Linked DNA regions of Canis lupus familiaris. The protein of the gene in region 1 purifies or fractionates together with the protein of each later gene. This does not show direct contact. Links are inferred from orthologs where the notes say so. Each region holds a gene or a part of one and is shown in the gene's direction. Other genes may lie near its edges.

Region 1 (6,516 bases):
TTTTTGGTAAACATAATTAATCCAGTAACACTGCCTAGTATATAATTGTTTTAAAATTGTTTTATGAACCATCTAGGTATTTTGTGGAGAGTTTATAAAGACAGGAGGTACTATTTGGGGGGAGGGGGTTGGAGGTACTATTTTTTTAAGGGTCATAATCATCCTTGAGACACTTGTTGATTTTTACCTCAGCCTATGTGACTTAATGACTGAGAAAGGGATGTTGAAACCTTCCCAACCAATGACAGTATGTATCTTTTTTTTTTTAAGATTTTATTTATTTATTCATGAGAGACTGGAGAGAGAGAGGCAGAGACACAGGCAGAGGGAGAAGCAGGCTTCATGCAGGAAGCCCAACGCGGGACTCCATCCAGGGACTCCAGGATCAGGCCCTGGGCCAAAGGCGGCGCTAAACCGCTGAGGCCCCCCTCCCCCCCCCCAACCTTGTATCATCTTTTTGATTTATGATTGACATCAAACTTGTGAGCAGATGCACACCCTCTGTCATGATTCTTTTTACCCTACTGAAGTAAATGCCCAGCTGACATTCTGAGAAACTGTGATACAATAGGATCATTTTTAGTTTATCAGATATTTCACTAATATTACTTCGTGTAATAATTTAGTTCTCTAAAGAGAAAAATGACATCTGGTATATTTCCCTTTGGTTGGAGATACAAATGCAGTCTGGACTGAGAAAAGTATTTTAAGATTATTCATTTCATTGAACTTCTGCTGTAACTTTTTTTTTTTTTTAATTTTTTTTAAAATTTTTATTTATTTATGATAGTCACAGAGAGAGAGAGAGGCAGAGACACAGGCAGAGGGAGAAGCAGGCTCCATGCACCGGGAGCCCGATGTGGGATTCGATCCCGGGTCTCCAGGATCGCGCCCTGGGCCAAAGGCAGGCGCCAAACCGCTGCGCCACCCAGGGATCCCTTTTTTTTTTTTTTTTAATTTTTTTTAAATTTTTATTTGTAACTTTTGATCTAAAGGTTCTTCCAAATGATCCAGTCTTTCTTGAACCTCATGAAGAAATGATACTCTGCAAATACTATGAGAAGAGATTATTAGAATTCTGTTCAGTGTTTAAGCCAGCAATGCCAAGGTCTGTTGTGGTAAGTTACAATAGTGATAAAGTGTAATGTCCTTTAGCTGACTTCTGAAATCAGAACTTTTCTAAATGTGTAACACAGTTCTCTGCCCACTTTAGGCAAATGTACGTATTCATGTTTTTGTCATTTCATGTATTTTTTGATAAATTCATTAACTTAGGAATTCTGTATCATTTCTTTTTCTTTAAAAAAAAAAAAAAAAAGACTTATTCATGAGAGACACAGAAAGGCAGAGACATAGGCAGAGGGAGAAGTAGGCTCCCTGCAGGGAGCCTGATGGGAGACTCCCAGGATCCTGGGATCACACCCTCCCTGAGCCAAAGGTAGATGCTTGACCACTGAGCCACCCAGGTGCCCACATGAAACTTTTCTTTCAATCCAAAAATAGATAAGTATCTATTTCATTGGTTCTAGTGAAATGACAGAGTAGTTAAAAATACAGGCAGATCTTAGTTGAATCCCTCTGTGTTCCTTATTAGATGTGTGACCCAGTTAATCTCACTGATAGGCAGTTTCCTTCTCTGTGGAGATAGCAATACTTCACCAAGCTGTTGTAAGGATAGAAAAAGATGATAGCTTGGTGCTTGGCACAGAATCTGGCCCATGGGATACAGTTAATAAATGGTAGGTGCTGCTTCTACTATTTAATTTGGCAATACGAGCATAGTTCTACCACACAGAGCCAAAGTGGATTTACAGAGAGGGCTTATTGCCCCAACTGTATTAATTCTGTCCATGTTTTCACGAGATTGGTTAAGCTGTGAATATTTGTATGTTTCTCCTTCATTTTTTCCTAATCTAGTTGGCTTTTGTTATTCTGAAGTCTAAAATAAACACACATAGACTTTTTAAAATTAACTCAGTGACCATAGGAAGGGTAACCAGGGTGGGTGGGGAAGGACAAGAAAAGGTCTTTTGGCTGTGACATTGCTGTAATAATTCATCACAATTTATTTGATTAAAGAAGATTAAGTTTTATATTTGTATCAGAAACTTTTTCAAAGAAACTTTTGCATATGTAAGTTTAAAAGAATTTTATACAAAATTTAACATGGATGTGTGAATAGATTTTGATAATGTATGTATTTTTAATCATAGGGTACAGCTTGTATGTATTTCAAGCGTTTTTATCTTAATAACTCAGTAATGGAATATCACCCCCGGATAATAATGTGAGTATAATTCTAATTTATTGATTTTCATTTAAGAAAATCTTTATTTGTGTGGGGAAAAAAAGAAATGACTTTCTAATAAAGGGTAATTTAGACTTGCTTCCTGTTATGAATTTATACTGTCCTTTTACTCCTATATCCTATATATCTGTAATACTTCCCTCCCTATAGTACTTATGGCATCTGAACTTCAACTTGTTCAAAGTCCGTTTTTCTTATACTAACTTTCCCTAATACCCCTTTCTGTTGGTAGCACCTTTCTTCTCTTTGTTGCTTCCGCTGAGAATCATTTGTGGTACCTCTTCTCCTTCTGTATCAGTGGGTTTAAAAGTCTTATAGCTCCGGATTCATATCAATTGAACAAAAGTCCATTAAAAATAAAGATAAATCTAGTATGAGACTCATCAAAGAGCTTGCTATCAATCACATTCTCCTTATTTATTTTCTCTCTTTTTCATTTCCTTTTCTATCAGTCTAGGCCAGGCCCTTGTTGCTTTCAATCTTGATTTTTATGGTAATTTTATTACTAGATTCTTACTTGATATTTATGGTAGTAGCCATGAGAGTTCCCAAGTTTGTTACTGAGGTGGTAATCTTTTGAAATGCCTTCAGAGTCTTCACTGGTGGTGTTCCTTTCTTCCTACCTTTCTTCCCACCTTTCTTACCTTGCTTCCTTCCCAGGTATATCTGTGTATACTGCTGTGTTCTTCTATCTACATTTCATGATCCAGTGTACTCTTATTTTTCAGTTATTTTTCCAGATATTTATGTTGAACTTTATGAAATTGCCATTAAGTCAATTATGGTTGAATGCTATGGCAAGATTATACAGTTCAACCTAATTATAGTCTTCTAATGGATAAAAAGTTGAAAGAGAAAATTCTTTAAAAAAAAAAATTTCCTGTAATGTCTAGCATCGTCACCTGTTAATATTAGGCATTTTTGGAATTTATTTTAGCAATAAAATACTCAGATATTTCTCAAAGTATGTACAGATCCCATCCTATCCCTTTGGTTTTTTTTCCTCTAGGCTTACTTGTGCATTTTTGGCCTGCAAAGTTGATGAATTCAACGTATCTAGTCCACAGTTCGTTGGAAATTTGAGGGAGAGTCCTCTTGGACAAGAGAAGGCACTTGAACAGATTTTGGAATATGAACTGCTTCTTATACAGCAACTTAATTTCCACCTTATTGTCCACAATCCTTATAGACCATTTGAGGGCTTTCTCATTGATTTAAAGGTATCCTGTCGATATAAAAAGTAAACTAGTAGAGTGTATACCTTTGCTATAGTTCTGTAACCAGAAAAATCAAAATTTTATTATAACTTGTAATATTCCTAATTGTAACAACATGAGTTGCTCTAACATGTGAGTTTAGCTTGGATCTCTAATGTTATAGTTCTCAAACTTCGGTGCCACCTGGAAGGCTTGTTAACCGTACTGTTGGGCTACAGTACCAGAGCTGCTCATTTAGTGGATCTGCATATTGGTCCAGGAACTGTAATGAGGACTATTATCAGTTTAGAGTAATGGTTTTGAAGACTTAAGTTAACTTTTCTAACTCTGAAGTATACTGCCATGGATCTGATTTAAAGAACCACAAAAATTCTTAATTTTAACTAGAAGATTGCTAAGTGATTTTTATTTTTAGTGCATGTGTAGGCATCAAAAACGTAAGTAAATGAACCCTGACAAAAATAACTTGTTTTGTTTGGGTCCTGAAAGGGGACTTGGATAGTGTGAGTGAGGTCAAAATGGAAGTCAAAAACTGGTTCATTCATCTCAGTTGAGTAGCAAAATTTGGGTATGTGTACCATATGCCAAAACATTGTGCTTGAGGATTAAGACAGGAACAGCCTCAACTCTCCTAGGTCTTACAGTCTAATGGGAAAGATAATCATATATTCAGTGTGCTAAGTGTTACAGAAAGAAAGATACAGGATACTTTAGAATGAGATGGGTTGTCGTGAGAAAGGGTCATTTAGAGTGAAAATCAGAGCAAGAGTAGGAATTAGGCAGTAGAATAATACACCAATTAGATTTCTTTGGTCAAAGGTCCAGATTCAAGAAACTGTGGTGCAAGAACCTAAACAGCGTAGAGATAGAGGGGAAAAGACTGCCACAGAGTGCTATCTGGGTGGAAGGTAGAGTCTAGACTGTGGAGGGGATATTAAGGATTTTGAATAGAGCAGTGGGAGACCACTGTAAGGCTGAAGTCTGAGCAGTGGCATAATTAGGTTTGCAGTTTTAAAAATTTTGTTTGGAAGCTCTTGAATCAGTCTGCATCAGCTATTTATTGCACGTATGTATGCGTCAGACATAATATGGAGAATGGATTAGAATGGATGAAAGGATACCAGTAAGATGCTATTATGAGTAGTCCAAGCAAAAGATGGTGGTTGGCTTGACTCATCCAGTGGCTGTGCATATAGAGAGAACTTCCTGGACTTAGGAGATACTAGTCAACCACTAGAGCTTGAGGATTTACTTCCTGTAGGGATTGAGAACAGAGGAGGAACCCCCAGGTTTCTGGCCTAAGAATATAGGTGGATGGTGGTTCAATTCCGGATACAGAAAACGCTGGCATAGAAGAGATTTATTGATAGTGGAGGGGTGGGGTTTGATGAATCTGGTTTGGGACATAATAAATTTCCAATTCCTCCAAGACATTATGAGTGTCTGGAAGTGAGAGATGATGGCTAAGCTATTGGGTGTTGTTACTTCTGGAAAACTTAAACTGGGTTGGCCAAAAGGACCATTTAAAGGGTAGTTAGAGAAGGGTGCCTGGGTGGCTCATTGGTTAAGTACCCAACTCTTGGTTTTGGCTCGGTCATAAGATTGAGCCCCACGTGCTCTGGGAGCACAGTGTCTCCTGGAGATTCTCTCCCTCCGCCCTCCCCCCCCCCACCCCCCTGCTCTCATGCTTGCTCCCTTGCTTGCTCTCTCTAAAAATAAGTTATTTTCATAAATAAATATAGAATAGTTGGAGGAATAGAAGATGCTAGTAAGGAGACTGAAAATATCCAAAGAGATAGGACTTTCTGGAGAAGTGAAGAGAAGTAGAGTACTTTTAGAAGATGAACACAGGTCACTCTCTAACCTGTTCAGAATTCAGGCAAAGTAAAAGCAAAAGGGATAATGTTTGCTGGGTGGAGTGCCGGAAGGGTCATTTGCGATTTTTGTGACATTTGTCTTCATAGAGCATGGAGGAAGAAAGCAGATTGGAGCCAGTTGGGGAATACATAGAAGGTGAGAAAACAGGTATTTATGACATGGATTAAACAGCTTGTCTTTGAAGTGGAAAAAGATGAGTGAGAAGATAGAGGAACTCCTAGAAAGAGATGAGAGAGATGGCTTTTGTTTTGCTTTGTGGAAGAAACTGATGTGGAGAGCTAGTAGTGAGAGAGAGCTTAAAGGAAGAAGTAAAAAATAAGTTCAGCTTTCTCTTTGGAGTAAGGTATAAGGGATTGGCATGAGATTCAAAGCAAAATAGAAGAATTGGCCTTGAGAGAATAATAGCTCTTAGAACAGAGAGAAAGAGGAAAGCATGGGTTGAGGACAGCATTACCCCTGGGGATTGAGGCTGACAGAAAATAGTGTGTCTTTGTTTAAGGCAGAGATCATTTACAGAGAGTGGTGGAATTTCTGAAAACTACCAGAGACGTTGAGACAGGTGGAAAATGTTGAACACCCAGTTACTGAAAAATGGGAGAACTTTTCTATGGGATATTATCATAGCTAGGCAGTGTTGAAAGTCCTCCTGAGGTCAGTGAACTTGAATTTATAATAATAGTATCAGACCTCTTGGTGGTACTATTTTCTATTGCAGCACCAAGAAATGTGGATATAGTTACAAAGCAGAAGATTGCTTGGATTCAGCCGTTGTTAAGGCTCTGTCTGAAATATATTGGCAGCATATTGAGGCAGGGAATTCTGGAGGGAAATGAGGATCCGTGGACATTGGTAAGTAGGAGCAAGTAGAGGGATAAGGGACCAAAGGTTCTGAAGAGGAAGTCAGGGAATAGCTGTGAAGTAATTGAGGAAATATGTTGAGGGAAAGGAGCACTGTGGTCAGAGTGGAATGTCTGAATTTGTCATAGTAGAGGTCAGCCATTTCAGGAGAATAAGATTTGAGTGTGACTGCAGTTGACTCAGGATATTTTGTGTGGAGCAAAGAAGATATTTCTTAGTGCCTTGGGACTTGAATGTGGATTTCTGAAATAGATC
Region 2 (5,405 bases), on another chromosome or scaffold:
CTGGGTGTAGCTCTGGGTCTCCTCTTTGAACCAAGAGCCTGCGTGAGATTGTGTGACCACATGGGACATGTTTCCATGTGACTCGATGTATGGTCACTGCTCTGTATACACCATCATCTGGCCGTGGCTCTGTAGGACATGCAGCTGTACGGTGAGGAGACACTGGTGACTGAAACGGCTCCAGTCTCTCCTCATGGAGCACCCAGTCACCTGGGGAGGCGTGTGTGGCCGCGCGCTGACAGTGGGTAGAGAGGGACTGACCTGACCCCACATGGCTTCCGCCCCAGATTCTGTGCCGAACGCCTCCGCTCCCTCTTGCACACCCTGGAGATTGCCGATCTTGCGGACTTCTCTCCCCTCACCCTCCTCGCTAACTTCGCCACCCTCGTCAGCACCTATGCCAAGGGTAAGCTCATCTCCTGCCTCTGCCAGGCCCCCTGGCAGCTGGAATCAGGATCCCAGCAGAGTCCAGGGGGTTGGGACTGGGACCTTCAGGACCTTGTAGGGCTGGGCTCAGGAGTTTGGGTTTTGTTTCGAGTACAGTGAGGTTCCACAGATAGTCCTTGAGCTAGTGAAGCCTTGTGCTCAGATGTATATTTTCAGAGGCTCCCTCTGGCTGCAGAATGGAGTAGGATGGGGGACGAGGCCAGAGAAGCTCTGTGGGGTCACTTACACTGTAGGGTATGGTGGTAAGGAGTTGGCCCTTCTACTTCTGGGAAGTGGGAAGCCATGGAAGATTCCAAGCAAGGGAAGAGCAGAGGCAGGGACCTGAGGCAGGATGGGAGGATGAGAGGGGCTGGAGAGAGATGTGGGACCTGGTACCTAGGATTGGGGGGGCAGGAAGGCATGGCAGGGAGGGGACAAGGAGCTGAGTATAGCACTCAGGTGCCAGGGAGAGGGGACCAGAGACTTTACTGGTCAGCACTACCTCCCCTTCCTTAGCATTAAACTGGCTGAGGGCTCAGTCTGATCCCTGGGGATTACTACTCTATCCTGGAAACCAGGTCAGGCTTCCTGATACCCTGTACCCAGCCTAGAGGATAGAGAGGCTGTCCCCCAAATCAGCATCCATCAGCAGCAAGTCCCACTAGAAGCTTCCTTCCGTGTCCATCCCCCTGTCCTTCCCCTTCTTCCTTCTGGGGCTGGCTTTCTCCTCTTCTGCCCACTTCCCTGTCCACCAACACCTCACATTCTTCTGCCTGGAATGTCTATCCCGATATTCCTTAGCCCCCAACTACCTCCTACTCATCCTTCAGTTCTTGGCTTGTTAAAAATGTTCCCTTCTCCAGGAGGTCCTCCCTGACCCCCCAGGGTGTGTCTCTTCCTCTTGGCTCTCCTGTTCCAGCTCTGTCTACTCTGAGTGGTCACTCTCTGGGGACAGGACTATGAGCCCTGAGAGGGCAGGGCCAGAGATGTCATGGTTCCCACTGTGTCCCCAGTACAGGGCCAGGCACAGAGGATTTTTTTTTTTAAGATTTTATTTATTTATTCATGAGAGACAGAGAGAGGCAGAGACACAGGCAGAGGGAGAAGCAGGCTCCCTGTGAGGAGCCCGATGTGGGACTCGATCCCGGAACTCCAGGATCACACCCTGAGCCAAGGGCCGACGCTCAGTCACTGAGCCACTCAAGCATCCCAACTTTTTTTTTTTTTTTAATTAAGTAAAATTGAATATGTGAATTCATTCATTTGCCTATTTTTTTTTTAAATTTTTATTTATTCATGATAGGCACACAGTGAGAGAGAGAGAGGCAGAGACACAGGCAGAGGGAGAAGCAGGCTCCATGCACCGGGAGCCTGACGTGGGATTCGATCCCGGGTCTCCAGGATCGCGCCCTGGGCCAAAGGCAGGCGCCAAACCGCTGCGCCACCCAGGGATCCCTCATTTGCCTATTTTTAAGAAAAATTTTATTTGTATTTATTCATGAGAGAGAGCGGCAGGGAGAGAAGCAGGCTCCCTGTAAGGAGCCCAGTGTGGGACTGGATCCTGAGACCCCAGGATCAAGACCTGAGCCGAAGGCAGATGCTCAACCGCTGAGCCACCCAGGCATCCCCACCTGTGTTTTTGGTTTTTTTTTTTTTCAACAAATGGGTCCTGCCCAGCACTGAGGAAGTGGCAGAAACCAAGAGGGACCCCATTCCTGATCTCCTGGCAGTTACACTGTAGAGGAGAAGACAAGTAACAAAGACTCAAATAAAAAAGATAATTCCAGAAAGGGATACTTTTTCACAAGAAAAATGTTGCCATGTTGGAGCATGCCTGCAGTGGCCAGGATGGCCAGGGAAGCCCTGAGGTGCTGACATTTGAGCTGAGTTCCAAATGACCAAATGGAACCAGCTGCCTTGGGAAGCTTTTCAGGCTGTGAGGCCAGCAAGTACAAAGGCCCTGGGGTGGAGTGAGCCTGGTGGTTTTTGAAACTTAGGAGGCCTGTGAGCTAGGAGAAAATGGGTCAGCGTGGCGGGTTCTCGCAGATAATTTTGGACTCCGGAAGGAGTATGGGGAGCTGTGCAGGGCTTCTGAGCAGGGCAGGGATGTGACCTGAATCAGAATTTTACAGGGTCCCTCTGCTTCTGGGAGGGGAGCAGGGGCAGCAAGAGCTGGATGCCCAGTGAGGTGACTGCAATGGTCCAGGCTAGAGGTGATAGTGGGGGAGGGAGTGGGGGCAGTGGTCAGATTGCAGATAGGCTTTGGAGGCAGAGCTTGACCCATGGCTTAGATACCATGATCATGGAAGGCTCCAGGCTTTGGCTTGAGTGGTGGTGTGGGTTCTTAGAGCCTTGAGAGTGTCTGAGGAGTAAACCTTTAGTGCTCTCTGCTCATGATGCTCCCTGAGTGGATGTCAGCCCTGGGAGAAGCGGGCAGGTTGGGGTGTACTTTGGACTCCCAAAGACTGGGTTTTAAGCTTGAGCAACTGGTGGTTGGCCCCAATCACTAATGGGGGGAGGAGGTAATAGACAAGTGGGCTTGGCTATGACCGGTGACCTGGAATCTCACCCGGTTGTAGGTTTCACCATCATCATCGAGCCCTTTGATGACAGGACCCCCACCATTGCCAACCCCATCCTGCACTTCAGGTGAGACCCAACCGCAGTGTGAGGCTGTCAACAGACCACGGGGGCCCAAGCATGGTCCTCACCACCCTCCTCTGCTTCCTATAGCTGCATGGATGCTTCACTGGCCATCAAACCCGTGTTTGAGCGTTTCCAGTCTGTCATCATCACATCTGGGGTGAGGACCCTTATCTGCCCTAAACTCCCAGTCCTCTACTATGGGGATCCTGGTTTCTGCCCGGTCCTGCTAAGATCCCTCCTGCTGTCCCTGCTATAGACGCTGTCCCCACTGGACATCTACCCCAAGATTCTGGACTTCCACCCCGTCACCATGGCAACCTTCACCATGACGCTGGCCCGGGTCTGCCTCTGCCCTATGGTGCGTGGGAGAGGGTGGATGCTGGGCCAGGGGAGATGTGTCAGCTCTCGTCCTCCTGTTCCCTCTCAGGCTGCTCAGGCAGGAGAGTATTAGCCTGAGGGCATAGGCTTTGATTCAGATAGATCTGGGCTTGATGCTACTGCTTCCTGTGGGTCTGACTCCCCAAGCCTCAGTTTCTAACCTGTAACATGGGGATGCATCCTCCCTGACCTCCCAGGGCGGTTGAGGTGATAGTGAGATAGTGGATACAAGATGCTTATGTGGCCCAGAGCCTGGCACCAGTCGGCCCTCAGTCAGCATCTTGGTTAATGTGGGCTTTGCCTGGTTCATCATCTGGTCATGACCTTGATGATGACCCTTCTCTGCCTCAGCCTCCTTTGTAAAACAGGCATCGTAACATGAGCCCTTAATTCCTTATCTGAATCCCTTGGGCCAGATGTATTTTAGAATTGAGAATTTTCCAGATTTTAAAGACAAACCACATGCTGTACAGTATGTGACATCCCCAGTGGGGTCTGGGCAGCTCCCTCCAGTGAAAGTTTTATTTCAGCAGGAACATGTTTTGAAACGTCAAACTAAGGGAGGTAAGTCAGGACTCTGAATAGACTCAGGTCAGGGCAGATTTTGCCACTATAGGAGTTTGCACCAAACTTAAATATCTGGAGTTCCTTGGGTCTTGGAATTGCCCTTCAGGGGTTGTGGACTGGTGACGGCCACATTCTGCATCATGGTTTTGTGGAGTTGCTGGGGGGGGGGAGGGGGGGAAGGGGAGGTGCACCTGTGGCTGGCGGTTGGTGAGGTTGTGGTGGAACCCTTTCTTCTGGAACTGTGTGGCTGGGAGGCTGAGGCCAGTAACACATATTTGCTGGTTAGCAACACAGACAGACTTGGGTTCAGTGTCGGCTCTGCCCTTGATTTGCCACGTGACCTTGGGCAGGCAGGCAGCTCACATCTGGGCCTGAGGTCATCCATCCGTGCAGTGCAGATAACAGGGGAGCTGAGGGTTCACTCAATGACATTGTGTCTATAAAAAGCTCAGCCTGGCACCGGCAGGCAGCTAACGCATCAGAATGGTGCTGTTTGCTTATCGTTTGCTTATTGTGACGTCTGTTGCTCTCTGCAGATCATTGGTCGTGGCAATGACCAGGTGGCCATTAGCTCTAAATTTGAGACCCGGGAAGATATTGGTATGCTGCTCATGGTGGTTTGTGTGGCTCCTGAGAGGGGAGGTGTATCAGTGGGCTAAGTCATGCTGCAGTAACAAACATCCCCAAATTACAGTGGCTTGACACAGAGGTTACTTTTTGCTCACAGTATGTGACACTGTGGACTGGTGGGGGCCTGCCCCGTGGTTTCTCACTCCAGGAACCCTTACCACGTCCCCTAAATTGTGACGGCAAGGATCCTGGTAATGGTGCTGGGCCTCACGAGGGTTTACCTGGAAGTGACACATAGCCACTTCATGCATTTCATTGGCTAGGTCGAGTCACATGGCCACGCCTAACTTCAGGGGCGGGGGGTGGGGTGGGGTGGTGCAGTTCTCTCAGGCCAGAAAGAGAAGTGGAAAGTATGTGAACAGCCCTACTGGTGGCCTCTGGGATTTCTAGGAACTCCAAGTTCAAGACAGGGCATTAGTTAGGAAAGCTCTGACGAGGGAGTAGGGAGCAGGACCCAGGCACACTCTGACCCCTACCTCCCCACCCCTAGCGGTGATCCGGAACTATGGGAACCTCCTGCTGGAGATGTCTGCTGTTGTCCCTGATGGCATCGTGGCCTTCTTCACCAGCTACCAGTACATGGAGAGCACCGTGGCTTCCTGGTATGAGCAGGTAAGCCCAGCCACCTGCTCTCCAGGAAGGCCCCACTCTCCTCTGTTCTTGGCTCTGTTCCTCTGTGTGTTGGCTTTGTCTGTCTTGTGTTTTAAGTGGTAACATGGATCTAAAACATCTGAACAGTTCAAAGAATAAACAGCATC

Evidence for each region.
Region 2: the proteins of CCNH (region 1) and ERCC2 purify together in Homo sapiens (affinity purification with mass spectrometry; 3 studies listed by BioGRID and IntAct, counting the BioPlex papers as one, with this or other methods). This does not show direct contact. The link is inferred for Canis lupus familiaris from reciprocal best matches to the Homo sapiens genes CCNH and ERCC2.

The regions. Positions count from the first base shown.
Region 1 is NC_049224.1:21,182,265-21,188,780, forward strand, and holds part of CCNH (cyclin-H), read left to right. Parts: intron 1-995; coding exon 996-1,118; intron 1,119-2,213; coding exon 2,214-2,287; intron 2,288-3,317; coding exon 3,318-3,528; intron 3,529-6,516. UniProt on the Homo sapiens protein: Regulates CDK7, the catalytic subunit of the CDK-activating kinase (CAK) enzymatic complex. CAK activates the cyclin-associated kinases CDK1, CDK2, CDK4 and CDK6 by threonine phosphorylation.
Region 2 is NC_049222.1:110,894,642-110,900,046, forward strand, and holds part of ERCC2 (general transcription and DNA repair factor IIH helicase subunit XPD), read left to right. Parts: intron 1-287; coding exon 288-406; intron 407-3,005; coding exon 3,006-3,075; intron 3,076-3,159; coding exon 3,160-3,229; intron 3,230-3,328; coding exon 3,329-3,430; intron 3,431-4,553; coding exon 4,554-4,617; intron 4,618-5,137; coding exon 5,138-5,259; intron 5,260-5,405. UniProt on the Homo sapiens protein: ATP-dependent 5'-3' DNA helicase. Component of the general transcription and DNA repair factor IIH (TFIIH) core complex, not absolutely essential for minimal transcription in vitro.